3 linked regions of the Macaca mulatta genome follow. The protein of the gene in region 2 purifies or fractionates together with the protein of the main gene of each other region. This does not show direct contact. Links are inferred from orthologs where the notes say so. Each region holds a gene or a part of one and is shown on either strand. Other genes may lie near its edges.

Region 1 (5,861 bases), on a different chromosome or scaffold from region 2:
AGTAATTATCTCAATGGTATCAATTTTTCCATATTCCTCAAAGTAATCTCTAAGGTGATGTTCCTCAGTATCTTCTTTAATTCCGCCAACAAACAGCTTCTTCACAGTTACATGAGCCCCTGGTTTTCCAGATTCCTAAAATATTGGTGGGGTAAAAGTCATCCCGACAGAAAAAAACACAAGCATGATTCAAAGTAGCCAACCTTTGTACCATACTTGGCTTGTATCCACCTTAAAACTACCAGATCTACAACAACAGCTTTTAGGGACCTAGCTTTTGACAAATAAGTTAGCTTCAGAAAATGGTCCAAAAACCCAACAGAGCTTTAATAAAATCTTGAGTTAAATCTAAATTCAGAAATACTTTCCGATGTTCAGCAAGGCAGCATTCTTTATGTTAATTGCACAAGACAGTCATGGTTTGCTTACCTCTCTTGCTACAGCACGTTTTGGCTCAACTACTCTCCCATCAATTGAATGAGGTCTTGCAGCCATGGCAGCATCAACCTCAGCCATGGATGAGAAAGTTACAAAACCAAATCCTCTTGATCTTTTGCTTGCAGGATCCCTCATTACCTTTCAAACCAAAGAGCAAACTTTAGCATTTAATCTCATTATAACTTATAAGTAAACAGTCATTATAATAGAATTTACTATGCTGATATAGTTACTTCCTCCATGATTCACTTAAACAGCTACGATACTAACATACAGTAACAATTCAGTAACTTACGTACCACACAGTCTGTAAGCTTTCCCCATTGTTCGTAATAGTTCCTCAAACTTTCTTCTGTGGTTTCAAAGCTTAAGCCACCAATAAAGAGCTTACGGAACTGTTCCTTTTCTCTCTGCAAAGGAAAATACCATTTCAATTTTTATTTACATTTTCCTCTTTGTATGCAGGAAATTAAATTCTTAAATATGAGGTGACCTGCTGGCAGAGTACCTTTTTCCTCTCCAAAGGAACAGTTTCTAAAGTTTTCTGGGGGGGAAAAAAAAAACTTACATCAAATTTAAACCATATGTTAAACTGCATATTAGTTGTGTTACACCAAAAAAATTGCCTCAGCTGATCTACACAAGTTTCAAAGTCATTAATGCTTGATCTAAATTTACTCAACATTAAATTATCTTAAACAAATGTATTATTACTTAATTTAAAAAATTTCTAAGGAGAAATGAACAAATGTAGACCGTGGTTATCAAAAGATTACTAAATCTTTACCAAAAATTTCAACCCTATAACCTAAAAACCCAGATTTCTATTTATAAACATCAGAAAATAACTTTTGGTTCGATGGTTATGACCCAAAGTTTTTATTTCACGATTCAGTAACATTTTCCCTTAACTGCCCCCTCTGGTGGTGATTCTAAGTATATTAGCCAAAAAAAAACTTTTTAAAATACTGTTTCTCCCTATGACTCTGACAAAAATATTTAAAATCATGATATGCATTAGCAATAACCTTAAAAATTACTTAAAACCAGGACAAATTCATTTTTATGACCAGCAGCACTCAAATCTTAAAAGTTTTAACAGGTTTTTGGTGGACACTGTCTATACAGGATATGACAATACAGAATATGAATTACTCAGCTTAACCTTATGTACAATAAAATACATTCACCTGGCATAATCTCTAAGCTAACTATTACTGAAAGCTGAAGCTTACTGAACTTGATTGGCCATGTGGCAAGCGACACGGCACGAAACAATTTTCTAACTCAATAGGAAAAACCTCAGAGTTGAAATCTTTAATACCTGCAAACAAGCAAATATGTCGTATTATACAACCCTGTATTTTGGGCAGTTAAGAATGTTAAGTAAACCTGTCTTAAAAGGTAACTACGTTAAAAAAAAAAAAATTAAACGAGAGGAAGTGATATCCAGGACCAACTACTACGAATGCATAATGCACACTAAAAAGTCACAAGTAATTTTGAATGAAGAATTATTTTTTGTTCCTAGCAAGAAGAATTGCTGCTCTCAGCCCAGTTCTACAGAGCTCTCTCCCTCCATTCACATGCTCCCAACTGCTAAAAAAAAAATAGTGGTAAATGCCAGTTCGGATTTTTTCCTGTAATTGTTTTCAGGACTGGTAAAAATTAAAAAAAAAAAAACATTAACCGAAATGATTAAACTACTTCCTATGAGACACAACGCAGTCTTGAAATGGTTACTTGCCAAAATAGATATTTTCATTTTCTCAATTAGTTTTTTCTTAATTGTCGTCAGCACATAGGTGTCTCTAAACTGAAATTACCGATAATGTACATTTATAACAAGTCTTACAGATCACTAACAAAAAGCAAAAACTCATTACTTACCTCACAATTTTTCCAAACTTACCCGATGTCCACTATCGATTTTAAACAATGTTATTTTATAAACGTGCTTAGGGTCAAAGAAAATAACCAGGTAGACCCCCTTCGCTTGAGACCTTATGCTTATCAATGTAATGTTCAACCAAGATTGCAAACATAAATGAGAAAAGTAACAAAGTTCAAATACAGAGCGGCCCAGGCCCAAAACAATTTTGCACAAAAATACACACGCATTACAGGAAAGAGCCTCTGAAGCCATGTTTTAACCGAAGTACAACTAAGGATAAAATCGTGATTTCGCTTTCCTCGTAATTTCTAACTAATCATCTATAATGATCCATGGAACTGTCCCGTAAGGATTAAACTTCTCAGGAAAAACATTACTTAAAATACGAGTCGGCTTTACAACTTAAGCGGAATCCTTAAGAACAGTAAAGGCTTCTGACGCGAATATCCCTCCCCCGCCCAGAAAACCATCCTCGTCCCTGCCCCTCGTGGCCGATGGCTTCCAAAGTGTTTATTTTTGCTGCTGTTCATCTGCCGTTTTAGTGACTGCAGACCCAAATATATCCGTTACTCAAATAAATTTAAAAAACAGGAAAACTACAAAACGGTTTCTTTGTCCTATGGCTCGCATTAAACCCGGCCCGACGCCCTGGGTGGTGGTATCTTCTCTGAAACCGGGCCCGCAAACCCGGAGCACCCCCCCGCCCGCTCTTCGGTGTGGCTTCCGAACGCAATGGCGCCATTTCATCGAGGGGAAGGCTGAGCGCCTTTAATGAGGTGCGCAGGACTCTAAAGATCCAAGCTCACAAAACACTCCAAATCCACCTCGAAACGATATGAAAAGAGCCCGAGAAGAAAGAAAAATAGTTAACCACTTCTATGCCTTGACAGAGAAAGCACACTAAAAGAATAAGAGAATTAAAAGAAAAACGCTGAGAGGAAGGCGAGCCATGAAAATGGCGGCCGCCAAATCCGGTTCCCGGGAGAGAGGGGGAGGGGAAGCTCCGCAGCCTCGCTCACGGGGACCCGCTGCCCGCCGCAACACTCGCCGCGGAGACGCCGTGGCCCCCGAAGCACCGTGCTTTAAAAAGGGAATAAGAATTCCCGCCTCCGCGCCCCACTTTCACTCCAGCGGGGCAGCGTCCGCCATGTGAAAGCTCCCCATCCCCCACCCCCAGTGAAGGGAAATGGCGCCGGGAGGCCGAGGGTGGGGAAGCTTGTTTGTACGCTCAGGCCTCCGGTCAAGACCCCGTTCATAAACCTCAAGCCCCACTGCTACTGAAGCGGTCCGATTTCCTGCCGCTCTCCCACGGAGGCGGCCGGCCGACTTCCACAAGGGGGCCAACGGCCTCGCCATGCCCTTTCCAATAACTCATTGATTTCAAACCCGTTACCTCCATCGCGGACTCAGTCGCTTCAGCCCGATTTCCCGCAGCCGAGCGAGATGAGAGAGATCTCCGCGGACGAACACGAACCGGACTCGTCCTGGCGCTGTAGTGAGAACTGCCGCTGCTCGAGAAACAACACCGCTAGGAGTACCTCCGCACGGGACCCGGCGCTGCTGCTACTGCCGCTAGAGCCGCTGCCGCCGCTTTTCTAGAACCTTCCCCCCCACTAACGCGTCTTCCTCTACGTCAGGCCGTTGCGTAAACGCCCTAACCGCCGCCAATGGCGGGAAGGCTCTACGCCCCTCCTTACGCCAAATGCGTACTCCTCCCCCTCCTGTGGCCAGCGACAGTGCCCGACGCTACTTCCGTAAATGCGCTCAGTGAATTGCGGAAGGCTCGAGTCCCGCGAGTTACTACCTCTCGGAATAGGGTCCCGCCCCCCGCCTTGGCGCAAGGCAGGTGAGAAACGGTCGCGCAGTTTGAAATTAACGCTGACGGGAGGAGCTTAATCCGGAGCCCGGAGTTCCAGCCCTCTCAACCTGGGAGGTGGTCCCTGCAGCTACGCCTTTGATAACCCCCGCCAGAAAAATCGTAGTATAATATGAGCCTTCCCTTTTCGTTCTCCGTGTCCCAACTCGGCGGATTGACTCGGCCCCTTCCGGAAACACCCGAATCAACTTCTAGTCAAATTATCGTTCACGCCACACTGACCTAACCCTGACCCGCGTCTATGCAGCTGACCCCTGGGGTACAGGAGGGGTCTCTGCTGAAAGTGGTCCCAAAGGGGTACTAGTTTTTAAGCTCCCAACTCTCTCTCCCCAAGCGTTTGGAGGATTCCGCACCCTCGCACCGCAGGGGCGAGGAAGTGGGCGGAGTCCGGTTTTGGCGCCAGCACTGAGGCTGCAAAGCAGAAAAGCCACCGCTGAGGAGACTCCGGTTACCGTCCTCGCCCCTCCTCCCCCCTCCCTCCCCTTGGGGACCACCAGGCGCCACGGGGCGAACGGTAAGTGCCGCGGTCTTCGCAGCCGCCCTCCCCCTAGGGCCCCAATTCCCAGCGGGTGCGGCGCGCGGCCCCTCCCCCCCGCCGGGCGCGCGCCCGCTGCCCCGCCCTTCGTGGCCGCCCGGCGTGGGCGGTGCCACCCCTCCCCCCCCCCCGGCGGCCCCGCGCACAGCTCCCGGCTCCCTCCCCCCTCGGATGTGGCTCGAGCTGTAGGCGCGCAAGGCCGGAGACGCTGCAGACCCGCGACCCGGAGCAGCTCAGAGGCGGTGAAGTCGGTGGTTTTCCTTCTCTCTAGCCCTCGCTCGGTGGTGGTGCATCAGATGCTGCACGCGCCCCGGGGGCCCGGTTCTCCGCTCCCCTCCCTTCCTTGCCGGACACCGCGCCGGGAGCTGCGGGAAGGAGTGGAGAGGGTCGGGCGGTGGCCTCGCGGCTGACCTGGCTCGGGGCCGGCGCCGGCAGTTAGTGGGGGGACTGTTCGGTCCTCGAGGGGGTAGGGAGCTGTGGCGACGGTCGCCCTATTTCGAGACAAAGCGCATTTTCCCTCCCCTCCCCCACCAGCGTTCCGGCGGAGGCGCCCCCTCCCCCAGCCGCCACGCGGGGCTGGGTCGAGACTTGGGCCTCCGGGAGGGCGGCGCGTGGTCCCGTGTCCGCGAGGCCTGGCGGCGTGCGGCCGACTGTCCCGAGGTTGCGGCGGCCGTCCCGTTAACGTGGCCGCCGCGGGGGGTAGGCGCGTGCCGTGTGGCGCAGTGCCCTTGAGCCCCCGCGCCGCGGCCTTTGTTTCTCCCTGCGGATGTGCTGACCACGAGGCCCGCGCTCCCGGGTGGGGGCGGGCAGCTGCGCTTAGGCCTCGGGACGCAGAGCTCCAGCGGAGAGGGTCGGAGGCGGAGGGGGAGCGGGTGTGTGCAAAAGGTGATTGCGTCTTCAAAGTGTCACGAAACGGGGTTGAAGCATCGTTAAGTTTTTTCCTTTAGTTAGTTAACTGCTGATTGGAAAAAGAGAGGGTTTCTGAGCAGAAACAAACTTAGGATTGCAGAACAGAGAAGATTCACAGGGGTTTACAGTTGTGAGTTGTTTGGGTAATCGTGCATGGTTTTAAACCGAAAGGATTGTCCTTTAAAAATGGAACATGGACTTGATTACAA
Region 2 (6,036 bases):
GGGACGTAGGGCTGGGCTGGTCTCTTTTTAGAACATGATCAGGTTTGAAAACATTTTCTGCTCTCGCTTATGAAATATATGTTCACTTTTTTAGCCGGGCGTGGTGGCTCACGCCTGTAATCCCAGCACTTTGGGAGGCTGAGGTGGGTGGATCACTAGGTCAGGAGTTCGAGACCAGCCTGTCCAATATGGTGAAACCCTATCTCTACTAAAAAATACAAAAATTAGCCGGGTGTGGCCTCGGTGACAGAGTGAGACTCTGTCTCAAAAAAACAAAACAAAACAAAAACTCAACAACAACAAAAAAATGAAGTATATGTTCATTTTTTTAAAAAAGTATTTTAGAAAAATATAACTATAAAAATTATCTGGGCTGGGTACAGTGGCTCACATCTGTAATCCCAGCACTTTGAGAGACTGAGGCAGGCGGATCACAAGGTCAGGAGTACTAGCCCAGCCTGACAAACATGGTGAAACCCTGTCTCTACTAAAAATACAAAAAAAATTAGTCGGGTGTCGTGGTGGGTGCCTGTAATCCCATACTCAGGAGGCTGAAGCAGGAGAATCACTTGAACCCCGGAGACAGAGGTTAAAGTGAGCCGAGATCGTGTCATTGTACTCCAGCCTGGGCAACTCCATCTCAAAAAAAAAAAAAAAAAAAATCCGTAATCTCACCATCTCGGATGTCAAGATTACTTTTCATACTTCCTTATTTTGTTAATAAAGGTGGGACAAAATCATAGCTTGTAAAAAACTGAGATGATGGTGAACCCAGTTCTGAGGCTTCACTTTCTGCTTCTGTTTGGGTCTCCACGCTGTCAAATTCTCCGAAGAGGCTGCTGCCCTCCTGAGTCAGCTGCACCCAGCAAGGCCCTAGAAGAGCCTCCGCTGGTGGACAGAGGAGCTGCTGCATGCAGAGGAGGAAGCTGGGCTGAGGGCTGGCACCAGGGCACGGGGCAGGGAGGCTGCGGGTCCCTGGTCTCACGGGTCTCAGTTCTATGGAGCTGCCTGTCAGTCCAGGTATTCAGTCCCCCAACCCCGTCTTTGGGTCTCAGTGGTACTGGATCCAGGCACACCTTTGGGATAAGCTGTTAAAAAGCTGGCTGAGGGAGGACCACCCACGTCCATGCCCATGCTCCTATGTGGATCTCCCGGGATCATAACCTTGTGGCTGACACGTTTCCTCTCCAAGGCAGATGGGGCTGTGCTGTCCTCCACGACTTGCTGGGTCCCCTCAAGGCCTCTGCCTGTGTGGGTGGGGTGCTCATGGGAATGAGGGTCTGGGGGGTGGGAAATCGAACACCACAGGGATGGGGCCATAGTCCCCACCAAATGGGCTCTCCTGGACAGTGACCCGGCATTCTGCCTCCAGTGGCTGCAGTGGGAGTCCCGATCTCAGGCCAGGGAGGGGAAGTGCAATGGTTGTCCAGAGCTGGTCCCATTCCTGGCCAGGCTCAGTAAAGTCACTGGCCAGTTTCTGGGCCTCAGTCTCCCCCAAGTTATTCAGCCTGGAGAATTAGTCACCATGCCTGTGATTCTGCCTCATCTTCTTGTGTCAAACAGGGAGGGTTTTTCTTGGCAGAATGGTGGTAAGACTTTGAGCCAGGAGACTGTCCCAGAGAAGGCAGCAGAGAGCAAGAGCACCAGGGCCTTCTCAAGGCCTCCGAGAGCCAGCTGGGCCTGGGCAGTAGATTTGTGGGAGGGTCCCCTGTTGGGACTCTGCCGACATGGAGTCCTCAGGGCTTGTGTGAGTGCTCTCAAAGCCACAGGATGGGACGATCACCTCCTTTCTCCAGGCCACGCAGCCAGCGCCAGAAAGCTCTGCAGCTCCCTGCACAGTCTGGAGAAGGGCTTCCTTCCAGTTTGAAGTCAGTGTTTCTATCTCATTGCCATGCTCGCCCCCACTGCTACATCCTGCACCAACCATTGCCACTTTATACTGACCAGGTGGAACCAAACACTGACATTCCACACGGCTCCCCATCCCTCCCCAGGGAGAACAGGCCCACAGGTGGTGCACCTGTGAGGAGAGTGGAGGCTGGCCACAGGCCTCATCAAATCTGCCTCCCTTGCTCAAAAGCCCTGCCCAGAACATGCCTCGGTCTCAAAAAAGAGTACACTGGGACCTAACCCACATGCCTCATAATCTTTTAAGCAGAAACAGCAAGCAGATTATGGGACAGGACAGATCATGCTAGTAGGATTAAGCTTAGAATATCCCAGATAATCTCAGATGCCCCTCCCCCAATGGGGCAAGAGAGTACTTCTGAGGGTTAAGGGGAATAAGAAAAAGAAGGAAGGGCTGGGTGCAGTGGCTCACACCTGTAATCCCAGCACTTAGGGAGGCCAAGGCAGGTGGATAACTTGAGGTCAGGAGTTCCAGACCAGGCTGGCTGATGTGGTGAAACCCCGTCTCTACTAAAAATACAACAATCAGCCAGGTGTGGTGGCGTGCATCTGTAGTCCTGGCTACTCGGGAGGCTGAGGCAGGAGAATTGCTTGAACCTGGGAGGTGGAGGTCGTAGTGAGACAAGATCGCACCACTGCACTCCAACCTGGGTGACAGAGCGAGAAGCCGTCTCAAAAAAAAAAAAAAAAAAAAAAAAAGAAAGAAAGAAAACGAAAGACGGATAAAAGAAAACAGAAACATGGGAATACTTCCTCTGCACAAAAATGCCAAGGTCTAGAATGAAGAGATGGTGAAATGAAGTCAGCCTGCAGGAAGGCGCACTGCGCCGTAATGGGACTTGGGGATGGGAAGGCCGACACAGACAGAGGTGTCAGCAGGACAAATACAAAGTGTTTCTGAAAAGAGCAAAGATTTCCAGTCCTCTCTTTATTCCCAAACACTCTGTAGGTAAAGCAGGGCCTCAGTAAACCCGAGAAGCAGAAGGCCTGGCCTCCTGCCTGGAGCAGCTTCAGTTCAGACTTTTCTTCATTCCTAACAGCAGAAAGAGGCTGTGCAAATGGGAGGCCCTCAGCAGAGCCTGAGGAACTCTGGGGTCTTAGCTCCTGGGAGGCCACACATGCTTGGTGGCATCCCGCCTGTCACGGTCCCTCCAAAAGCTCCCAGTGATCAGTGGCCTTTCTTTTTTCTTTTTTTTCTTAAGACAGGGTCTCATTCTTTGCCAGGCTGGAGTGCAGTGGTGGAATCTCGGTTCAGTGCAACCTCTGCCTCCCAGGTTCAGGGGATCCTCCTATCTCAGCCTCCCAAGTAGCTAGGACCACAGGCAAGCACCACCACGCCCGGCTAATTTTTTGTATTTTTAGTAGAGTCGGGGTTTTGCCATATTGTCTTGGCTGGTCTCGAACTCCTGGCCTCAAGTGATCTACCCGCCGCCACCTCCCAAAGTGCTGCTTTCACAGCAAAGAGTCACCCCGCTCGGCCAGTGTGGCCTTTCTTCAGGCCATCACTTGCCAGCCACAGGCTGTGGCTCTGCCCCTCACCGGACACGACGTCACAGCCGGGATGTGAACAGCAGATTTTGATCTCCAACTCCAGACAATCACTGATTTACTTCTGCAAACCGGAGCTGTCCGGTCTTGCAGGGTCGGACCGTGTAAACAAGCCTGCTGCCAGGCAACTGAAGATAAAGACACGAGTAAAGACGCCCCACAAGGAATGAAAAACAAAACTCCTCCTGGGAAACCCAGATTTGGGATTCGGAAACGGGCTTGAGATTAACCTGAAGCTTCATGACGTCTTACTTTCTGTTTCCACTGCCTTTCCTTTTCCACTACAGCGACGCCCTCCGCTTCACGTGCCAAGTCCTGACTTTCTCCGAATAGTTGCCGACCCAGCACCCCGTAGGCCGTCCCCCGGGGACGCCGATGTCCTCTGGAGCACAGCGTCCGCTGGCGAAGCCGGGTGCTTGCCCTAAGCGCGGACACTTCCGCAACCGCCCAACAGTTAGCAGAAGCCCGATGCAAGGGACGCCCCATTCTCCCATCCCAGGGAAACTTCGCTGGGGCAGCGGTTCAATCGGGTGTGGGTCTCGCAGCCGCTTTCCCAACTTAAGGCTCTGCGTTTGGGCAGGCTCGGGACCCGCCGCCCTTCCTGGCGGGGGCAGGGCAGGCTCCCCGCGCGTAAGCCGAGGTGTGGCAGGGCCCCTCCCCGCAGCCCTCCCGCGCCGTCCACCGCGGCCCTGCTCCCTCCCGGTCCCCACGGGCCCCGCGCCCGCGCGCTGCCCTCACCGGGCTCCAGCAGATGAGCGCGTCGGTGTCCGGGTCGCTCACGAGGGTCCACAGCTTGGTCAGGAAGGCCGGGACGTTGCTGGGCCCCGCCGCACCGGGGCCCACGGGCAGATCCATCTCGGGCAAGGCGGGAATAGGCGGAGGGAGCGGCCGCGAAGAGGGGCCGAGGGCCGGGCTAACGCCGTTGCCGCGCCAGCCGTCCGGGCCGAGCCGCCGCCCGCTGCGCACACACAGCCCCAAGGCCCAGCATGGCCGCCGCCATCTTGCAACGGGCGCGCTCCCGCCGCTGCCGCCGCCGCTGCCGCCCTCTCGCGTCCCCCCCCGGCGCGAGCACGCAGGCCCCGACCCCGCCCCGGCCCCCGGCCCCGCCGCGCGCCTGCGCGTGTTGGTCCCGCCCCCCCCCCGCCCGCCAATCGGGGCCGGGCTGGGCGGGGCGCGTCCTCCTGCGCACGCGGCCGTGTCACTGCCGGAAGCGGCTGTTCGGGTCGCGGCCGGCGCGCGGCGGGACATGGCGGGTTCGCGGGGCACGGGGCGCACGGCGGCGCCAAGCGTGCGGCCGGAGAAGCGGCGGTCGGAGCCCGAACTGGAGCCTGAGCCCGAGCCAGAGGTGACTGCGGCAATGCGGGGCGGCGAGGCGCGTCCCTAGAAGGCCCAGCGGGCACGTGGCCGCGCTGGGGCGGGTGGGCCCGGCTGCTGTCACCTGGGCGCCCGTGCCCAGTGAATCGGCCTTGGGCGTGGGCGCAGCTCCTCTATCGGGGGGTCTTAGGCAGAGCAGACTGCAGGGTGAAGGACGGCGTCCGGGAAGCAAAGAAACGGGGGTGCAGGGAGTGGGGATAAGCGCCCCTTGCAGCAGCCTCTCCGGCCGTTCCATTTGTGCGTCCTGCCAGTAAAAGGGCTCGGCTTGCGCCCCCAGTAAATGCTTAACCTACTTATGCGCTAGTTAATCACGTTTTTATGCTCATGGGATAGACGTGAGAATAAGAAAACCTGAATAGAACCCAGAGTCTGCTGCGTTTGTTGTATCAGAACTCACTGTTGCCCTCTGCCAGCTCAGCCCCGTCTTGGTTGTGGGGATCGTCAAATTGGGTGGTGGAGGGAATGGACAGCCAGCCTCTCACAGCCCCCTCGGCCGCGTTGGGTTGTTGAAACTGCCCCATTGCTTTGTGAAGCGAACTCAACTAATCCTGGTTCCCATGGGCTGAACGGCCCGCAGGCCGCTCTAGGCGCCAGGTTCTGCTGCTTGCACCCTTGAGTTAAATGCTCTTCAGGAGCCAGTTGTTTGTGCTCAGGCCATGCATGCCATTTCCACTAGTTATTGTGGTTGTGTAGCTGACTGAGTACCAAGACACATCATGACTGTGTGAGAGAGGCATTGTGTGAACACTCAGTATGCAATAGCTAATACATCCAGGTCGTACCTTAAGTGAGACTTGTAAACTATTAGGAAAGCAGTAAAATCTAGAATTCTACATTCAACTGCTTCCATTTTCTTTTCTTTCCTTTTTCTTTTTCTTTCTTTTCTTTTCTTTTCTTTTTTTTTTGAGATAGAGCCTTGCTCTGTTGCTCAGACTGGAGTGCAGTGGCACAATCTCGGCTCACTGCAGCTTCCATCTCCCGGGTACCTCAGCCTCCTGAGTAGCTGGGATTACAGGTACCTGCCACCACCAGCTATTTTTGTATTTTTAGTAGAGATGGTTTCACCATGTTGGCCAGGCTGGTCTTGAACTCCTGACCTCAGGTGATCCACCCCCCTCGGCCTCCCAAAGTGTTGGGATTATAGGCATGAGCTACTGTCCCTGGCCTTCAGCTGCTTCCTGAGTCTAAGTTCTTGTTCCACTTTTT
Region 3 (6,118 bases), on a different chromosome or scaffold from region 2:
CCTGGGCAACACGGTGAAACCCCATCTCTACTAAACTACAAAAAGTTAGCCGGGCATGATGGTCCGAGCCTGTGGTCACAGCTACTCCGGAGGCTGAGGCACGAGAATCACTTGAACCTGGGAGGCAGAGGTTGAGGTGAACCGAGATTGCAATATTGTACTCTAGCCGGGGCGACAGAATCCACTGAACATCTATTTTTTCACAGACACTTTTCTAGGTACTAAAGGCAGCCCTGGGCCAGACAGAAACTCCTACCCTGGGGGTGGGGCTCACATTCAGGTTGAAGAACAGTCAATAAAGAAAATAAGCAAAAGTGTAGCATTTGACATGGTGAGATTATAAGCGTCCTGGGGTAAGTAAGATTAAGCACAGTGGGGGATCTGGAGTGCCGAACTGCGGCTGCAGAATTAAACAGGTCGGGGCCGGGTGCGATGACTCACACCTGTAATACCAGCACTTTGGGAGGCTGAGGCAGGAGGATCACTTGAGCCCAGGAATTTAAGAGCAGCCTGGGTAACATGGCGATACCCCATCTCCACACAAAAAAAGTTTTTTTTTTTTTGAGACGGAGTCTCGCTGTGTCGCCCAGGCTGGAGTGCAGTGGCCGGATCTCAGCTCACTGCAAGCTCTGCCTCCCGGGTTTTTACGCCATTCTCCTGCCTCAGCCTCCCGAGTAGCCGGGACTACAGGCGCCCGCCACCTCGCCCGGCTAGTTTTTTGTATTTTTTTTTTTTTTTTAGTAGAGACGGGGTTTCACCGTGTTAGCCAGGATGGTCTCGAACTCCTGACCTCGTGATCCGCCCGTCTCGGCCTCCCAAAGTGCTGGGATTACAGGCTTGAGCCACCGCGCCCGGCCACAAAAAAAGTTTTAAATTAGCTGGGCATGGTGGTGCATGCCTGTGGTCCCAGTTACTCAGAAAGCTGAGTGGAGTGGATGGCTGGAGCCTAGGAATTTAAGGCTGCAGTGAGTGAGACCTTGTCTCTAAAAAAAAAGAAAAGAAAAAGAAATGGGTTGGTCATTGAGGGTCCCAGGGAGGCGACTTGCGAGAAAAGCAGTAGGTGAGGGACTGAGCCAGGCCACATCTAGAAGTGGTTGCAGGCAGAGGGCACCACCAGGAGGCCAGTGTGGTGGAGGCAGAGTGAGCAAGGAGAAAGGGAGAGGGGAGGGGAGCAGGTGATTATCAGGTCTTGCAAACTTTTGTAAAAACCTGGGATTTCCCTCTGAATAGGTGTGGGAGCTGCCGGAGGGCTCTAAGCAGAGGAGTGGGGACACCTGCATTGCTGTTGATTGAGAACAGATGGAGGAGGGGCAACGGCAGGTGCAGGAATATGAAACAGGAGGCTACGGCTGGGAGCAGGCAGGAGAGAAGGTGGTGTGGAGCGGGAAGGAGAGAGGAGTGGGGAGAAACGGTCAGACCCTGGACTGACTTTGAAAAGAGAGCCCGTTTGATTTAGTGAGATACGAGGTGTGACAGAAAGAGAGGTCAAGGATGACTCCGAGGTCTCTGTTCTGAGCAACCAGGAAAAGATGGGGAAATGGTGGGAAAAGCAGGTTTGGGGTGGGAAGAGCAGGGATTTCAGCTCATTTTCAAATGTGTCAAATTTGAGGGATCTATTACACACCCAAGGCAAAAGACTGAGGAAGCTGCCTGAAGCCCAGGCGGAGGTGCAGCCCGGACCAGGATTTCCCAACTTCAGCTTTACTGACACTTTGAGCTGGATAGTTCTCCGTGGTGTGACCGTCCCGTGAACCACAGGATGCTGAGCAGCATCCCTGGCCTTCACGCACTGGATGCCGGTATCCCCCTTCCTCCAGTTGTGACAACCAAGAATGTTTCCACACCAATTGTCCCCTGGGGAATAAAAATCACCCCCAGTGAAGGATCACTGGCCTAGAGATATAAATTTGAGATTTGTCAGAATAAAGCCTTACAACAATATGAGGCCGGGCACGGTGGCTCACGCCTGTAATCGAGCACTTTGGGAAGCTGAGGCGGGCCGATCGCCTTGAGGTCAGGAGTTCGAGACCAGAATGGCCAACAGGGTGAAACCCCGTCTCTACTAAAAATACAAAAATTAGCCAGCCGTGGTGGCGTGTGCCTGTAATCCCAGCTACTCGGGAGGCTGAGGCAAAGGGAATTGCCTGAACCTGAGAGACAGAGGTTGCATGAGCTGAGATCATACCACTGCACTCCAGCCGGGGCAACAGAGTGAGACTCTATCTCAAAGAAAAAGGAGATGAGCGCTAATAAGTGACTGCTGGAATTTTGGGGGGTGAGGGAGGGGAGCAGAGGTCTCCTTAGTCACAGTTCTAAGTAAATTTGAGTGAGCTATTTAATGTTTCTGTGCCTGTTTCATGCCTCACTGTCGTAAAGGTTCAATGACGTCATGTACGTAAGTGGGTTAGCATAATGCTCTGTATACAGTAATTGCCAATTAAACATTATATATAATAACTATTCCTATTAATCTGCAAAACAACTCTATGAGGTATATGTATTATTGTTATCCCCACTTCACAGACGAGAAAGTTGAGTCACAGAAAGGTTGAGACTTACCCAAGGTCACACAGTCAGCAATTGACAAAGCCTGAAATCAAACCCAAGCAGTCTAGGCTGGGCGTGGCGGCTCACATCTGTAATCTCACCACTTTGGGAGGCTGAGGCAGATGGATCACTTGAGGCCGGGAGTTCGAGACCAGCCTGGCCAATATAGTGAAACCCCTTCTCTACTAAAAATATGAAAACTAGCCAGGCATGGTGGCCCATGCCTCTAATCCCAGCTACTAGGGAGGCTGAGGCACGATAATTGTTTGAACCGGGAAGGCAGCGGTTGCAGTGAGCCAAGATTGCGCCTCTGCACTCCAACCGAGACTGTGTCCCCCACCCCTACCCCCCACCAAAAAAAAAAAAAAAAAAACAAGCAGTCCGACTACAGAGCCTGTGCTCTTCATGAAAACATACTGCTGTCTTCAGAAGCACTGCCTGTATGCTGGACACTGTGTGCAGCCCTACTTAAAGTAGAACCTCAGAACTACCCTATACCGTAGTTATTATTATTATCAATTTGTAAATGAAGAACTTGAGACTCAGAAAGATGAAGTAATATATCCAAGGTCACACAGCTGGACAATGCTGGATCCAGGTCGGTCTGGCTCTGGAGAGGATATGTCCCCCCAGACTCTCTTGAGATCTGACCTTCAGTCAACAACGACCCCATCTAGCACAAATTATAGCCTACAATGCCTCCACACCTGGACTCCTGCCACCCACCCAAGAAGACCCTAGTCTTCTTGTGGCTCCCCAAGTCACACTTCCCAAGGCACCTCTATCTGTCTCCAGGCCCCTCACCCCAGCTTCTTGGGTCCCCATCTTTTACCTCCTCACTCATGGGTTCTGGAGGAGGGTCTGGCTCTTCAGAGCCCGCGGTGATGGCCATCTGCAGCAAGCCTTGGAGGTTGCGTGGGGGCCGGGAATTGCCCGAGCCCCCAGCCGAGGAGGAGCCGCCGCCGCCGCCGCCGCCGCCGCCCCCTGAAGAGCAACCCTGGGAGGCCGGGGGCAGCGCCAGGGGCAGGCGGCTGCCTCTTGAGCCTTCGTCTGACATGGGCCGTTTGTGAAGAAGGGAAGAACGTGTTAGGGGGAGAAGGTGGTCACCGCTGAAGCAGCTCTGGCGTCCTGATGGGTCGATTCTTGAGGGTCTGCTGAGAAGGTGGCGTTTTAGGGGAGCTCGGCGCCCCCCCATGACCCCAAACGACTCTGTCCCCAGCCCACTCAACCACAGCCCCTTTTCCTTCCTTCATACCCACAGGACCCTTCCCCAAAGTCATAAGCCCCTCCTTTCTCCCTAGCAACACGCCCCACCCACTCTCCCTGGCAACAACCCCCCTTCCCCATCTCCAATGCGTGCGTCCCGTCTCTTAGCAACCTCACTGCCCCGCCTCCGTAGCAACAAGCCCGCCCTTTGGTCTCCTTAGCAACAAGTCTTCTCCCTCCTCTCCGAAGAGGGGCGCCGGAATAGGGCGGATCTCACCTCCCCGGGTCCTCAAGCCGCCGCTGCTCCTACGGACAAAGTCGTCCGCACCTGACTCTACTGGGCGCCGCCATCTTAACCGGAAATACGCACGGTTTCACCCGGAAGTGCTTGGCGTAGCCACCCAACTTCGTGCCGTGGATGCCGCTGAAGCTGCTTGCCAGACTATTATTCTCTTCTCACCTGGCCAGATACTGCCCTCGGCCCCGCCCCTCCCATCCAGGCCCCGCCTCCAAGCTAGGACGCACCTTCGTGCGGGCCCCGCCCCTTCACGCTCAAGTCGCTGGTCAAAGCTCCGCCCCTGGCCCAGTTTTCGCACTTCAGCGAGTCCCGCCCCCGATCTTTATTGCAAGCTCCACCCCTGTTCTAATATGTTCCCCGCCCCCAGGTCTGACCCCGCCCACACTACTATTCCCGCCCCTGTTCTAGGTGTTTCAGCCTCTCCCAGTTAGGCCCCGCCCCCTTTCCAGGCCCCTCCCACTCATTGCTGTGGGTCATCCTTAGAAGGTTTGGGGCCTCGCCCCCCTAATCTGACTTTCGCTTCCACCGGGGCCACCACCCCATCTACTGGAGCCCTGGGGCCGCAACTGTGATGGCTGGCCTGTGAGCCTTGGGTCCCCGGCAACCCCTCTCTCGGCCTCAGTTTCTCCATCTGTCAAATGGAGCTGCGGCATGGACCCGTCTCATCACCCAGCCTCTCGCTCATGGACTCTTCCCCATGTCCTGCCAGGTGGAGAGGAGAGGATTCTTGAGACCTGGAGCCGGAAAGCAAAGTGCCCCAGAGCCCAGCAAGATTCAGAGCGCCAGAGGAGCCAGCTTGGTGGGGAGGCCCGAGGCCTCCGTGCTCCAGAAGTGGGGTTTAGGCCTGGGCACGTGCTGATGCGGCCCCAGTCTGCAGAGGTGTTGGCCCTGTACTGGGCTTAAAGAAAGTCTCATGTTGGTGCTGGATAGGAGGCGTTTTCCCCCAGGAAAAGGTTGTGCTCAACGCAAAACGGGCACGCAGTCACAAACGTATCGAGCACCTGCTGGGTGTGGTTGTGCAAGGGGATATTTTGGGCAGAAACAGGAAGACCCAACAGATAGGCTGTGTGTGTGTGTGTGTGTGTGTGTGTGTATGTGTGTGTGTGTGTATGGTGTTTCCAGCACTGTGTTGTGAGATGCGTCTGGGCCTGTGGATGTGCTATTATATTAGTTTCCTATTGCTGCTGTTAACAAATTACTAAAAATGTGGTGGCTTAAAACAGCACACATTTATTATCTTGCAGTTTTGGAGGGCAGAAATCCAAAATGGGTTTCACAGAACTGAAATCAAACTGTCAGCAGGATTGCATCGCTTCTGGAGGCTCTCGGGGAGAATGTTTTTCTTGCCTTTTCCAGCTTCTAGAGGCCACACTCGTTCTTTGACAGGTGGCCCCATCACCCCAAGCTCTGCTTCCATCTTCCCGTCTCCATCACTGACTGCTCCTCCTGCCTCCTTCTCACAAATACTCTTGTGATTCCATCGAGCTCACCCAAATAACTGGGATAATCTCCCTATCTCAGTCACATGGGCAAAGTCCCTTCAGCCATGCAAGGTAACCTATGCACAGATCCTGGGAATTAGGATGCGGACATCTATGTACACGTCTATCAGTTTATAATACATGGCCGAGGGCAGTGGCTCAGGTCTATAATCTCAATACTTTGGGAGGCCAAGGTGGGAGGATCACTTGAACCCAAGAGTTCGAGACCAGCCTGGGCAACATAGTGTGACCGCATCCCTACAAAAAAATACAAGAATTAGCCATGTGTGATGGCATCTGCCTATAGTCACAGCTATGCAGGAGGCTGAGGCAGGAGGATCACTTGAGCCCGGGAGGACGAGGCTGCAGGGACCTATGATTGCCCCACTGCACCCCAGCCTGGGCAACAGGGGGAAGACCCTGTCTCAAAAAAACAAAACAAAACAAAATAAAAAGAGGGTAATCATATAATTTTTCATCTACAGCAAGACATTTGAGAGCAAAAAGGGACCCATTAATGCCTCCAGAACCAGGAGGCAGATCCCTCCTGTTAATAGTTACAGAGCCAGGCCAGGTGTGGTAGCTC

The links.
Region 1: the proteins of HSF1 (region 2) and HNRNPA2B1 purify together in Homo sapiens (affinity purification with mass spectrometry; 3 studies listed by BioGRID, with this or other methods). This does not show direct contact. The link is inferred for Macaca mulatta from reciprocal best matches to the Homo sapiens genes HSF1 and HNRNPA2B1.
Region 3: the proteins of HSF1 (region 2) and HSPBP1 purify together in Homo sapiens (affinity purification with mass spectrometry; 5 studies listed by BioGRID and IntAct, counting the BioPlex papers as one, with this or other methods). This does not show direct contact. The link is inferred for Macaca mulatta from reciprocal best matches to the Homo sapiens genes HSF1 and HSPBP1.

Annotation. Positions count from the first base shown.
Region 1 is NC_133408.1:102,186,630-102,192,490, reverse strand, and holds the start of HNRNPA2B1 (heterogeneous nuclear ribonucleoproteins A2/B1), read right to left. Parts: upstream 3,886-5,861; 5' UTR 3,732-3,885; coding exon 3,726-3,731; intron 983-3,725; coding exon 947-982; intron 849-946; coding exon 738-848; intron 577-737; coding exon 430-576; intron 136-429; coding exon 1-135. UniProt on the Homo sapiens protein: Heterogeneous nuclear ribonucleoprotein (hnRNP) that associates with nascent pre-mRNAs, packaging them into hnRNP particles.
Region 2 is NC_133413.1:154,683,469-154,689,504, reverse strand, and holds the start of HSF1 (heat shock factor protein 1), read right to left. Parts: upstream 3,958-6,036; 5' UTR 3,943-3,957; coding exon 3,709-3,942; intron 2,611-3,708; exon of another isoform or gene 815-2,610; intron 1-814. Other genes in the region: ribosome biogenesis protein BOP1, read left to right, coding at 4,703-4,801. UniProt on the Homo sapiens protein: Functions as a stress-inducible and DNA-binding transcription factor that plays a central role in the transcriptional activation of the heat shock response (HSR), leading to the expression of a large class of molecular chaperones, heat shock proteins (HSPs), that protect cells from cellular insult damage.
Region 3 is NC_133424.1:67,615,075-67,621,192, forward strand, and holds the start of HSPBP1 (hsp70-binding protein 1), read right to left. Parts: upstream 3,886-6,118; 5' UTR 3,743-3,885; coding exon 3,380-3,742; intron 2,964-3,379; exon of another isoform or gene 2,901-2,963; intron 1,420-2,900; exon of another isoform or gene 1,348-1,419; intron 1-1,347. UniProt on the Homo sapiens protein: Inhibits HSPA1A chaperone activity by changing the conformation of the ATP-binding domain of HSPA1A and interfering with ATP binding. Interferes with ubiquitination mediated by STUB1 and inhibits chaperone-assisted degradation of immature CFTR.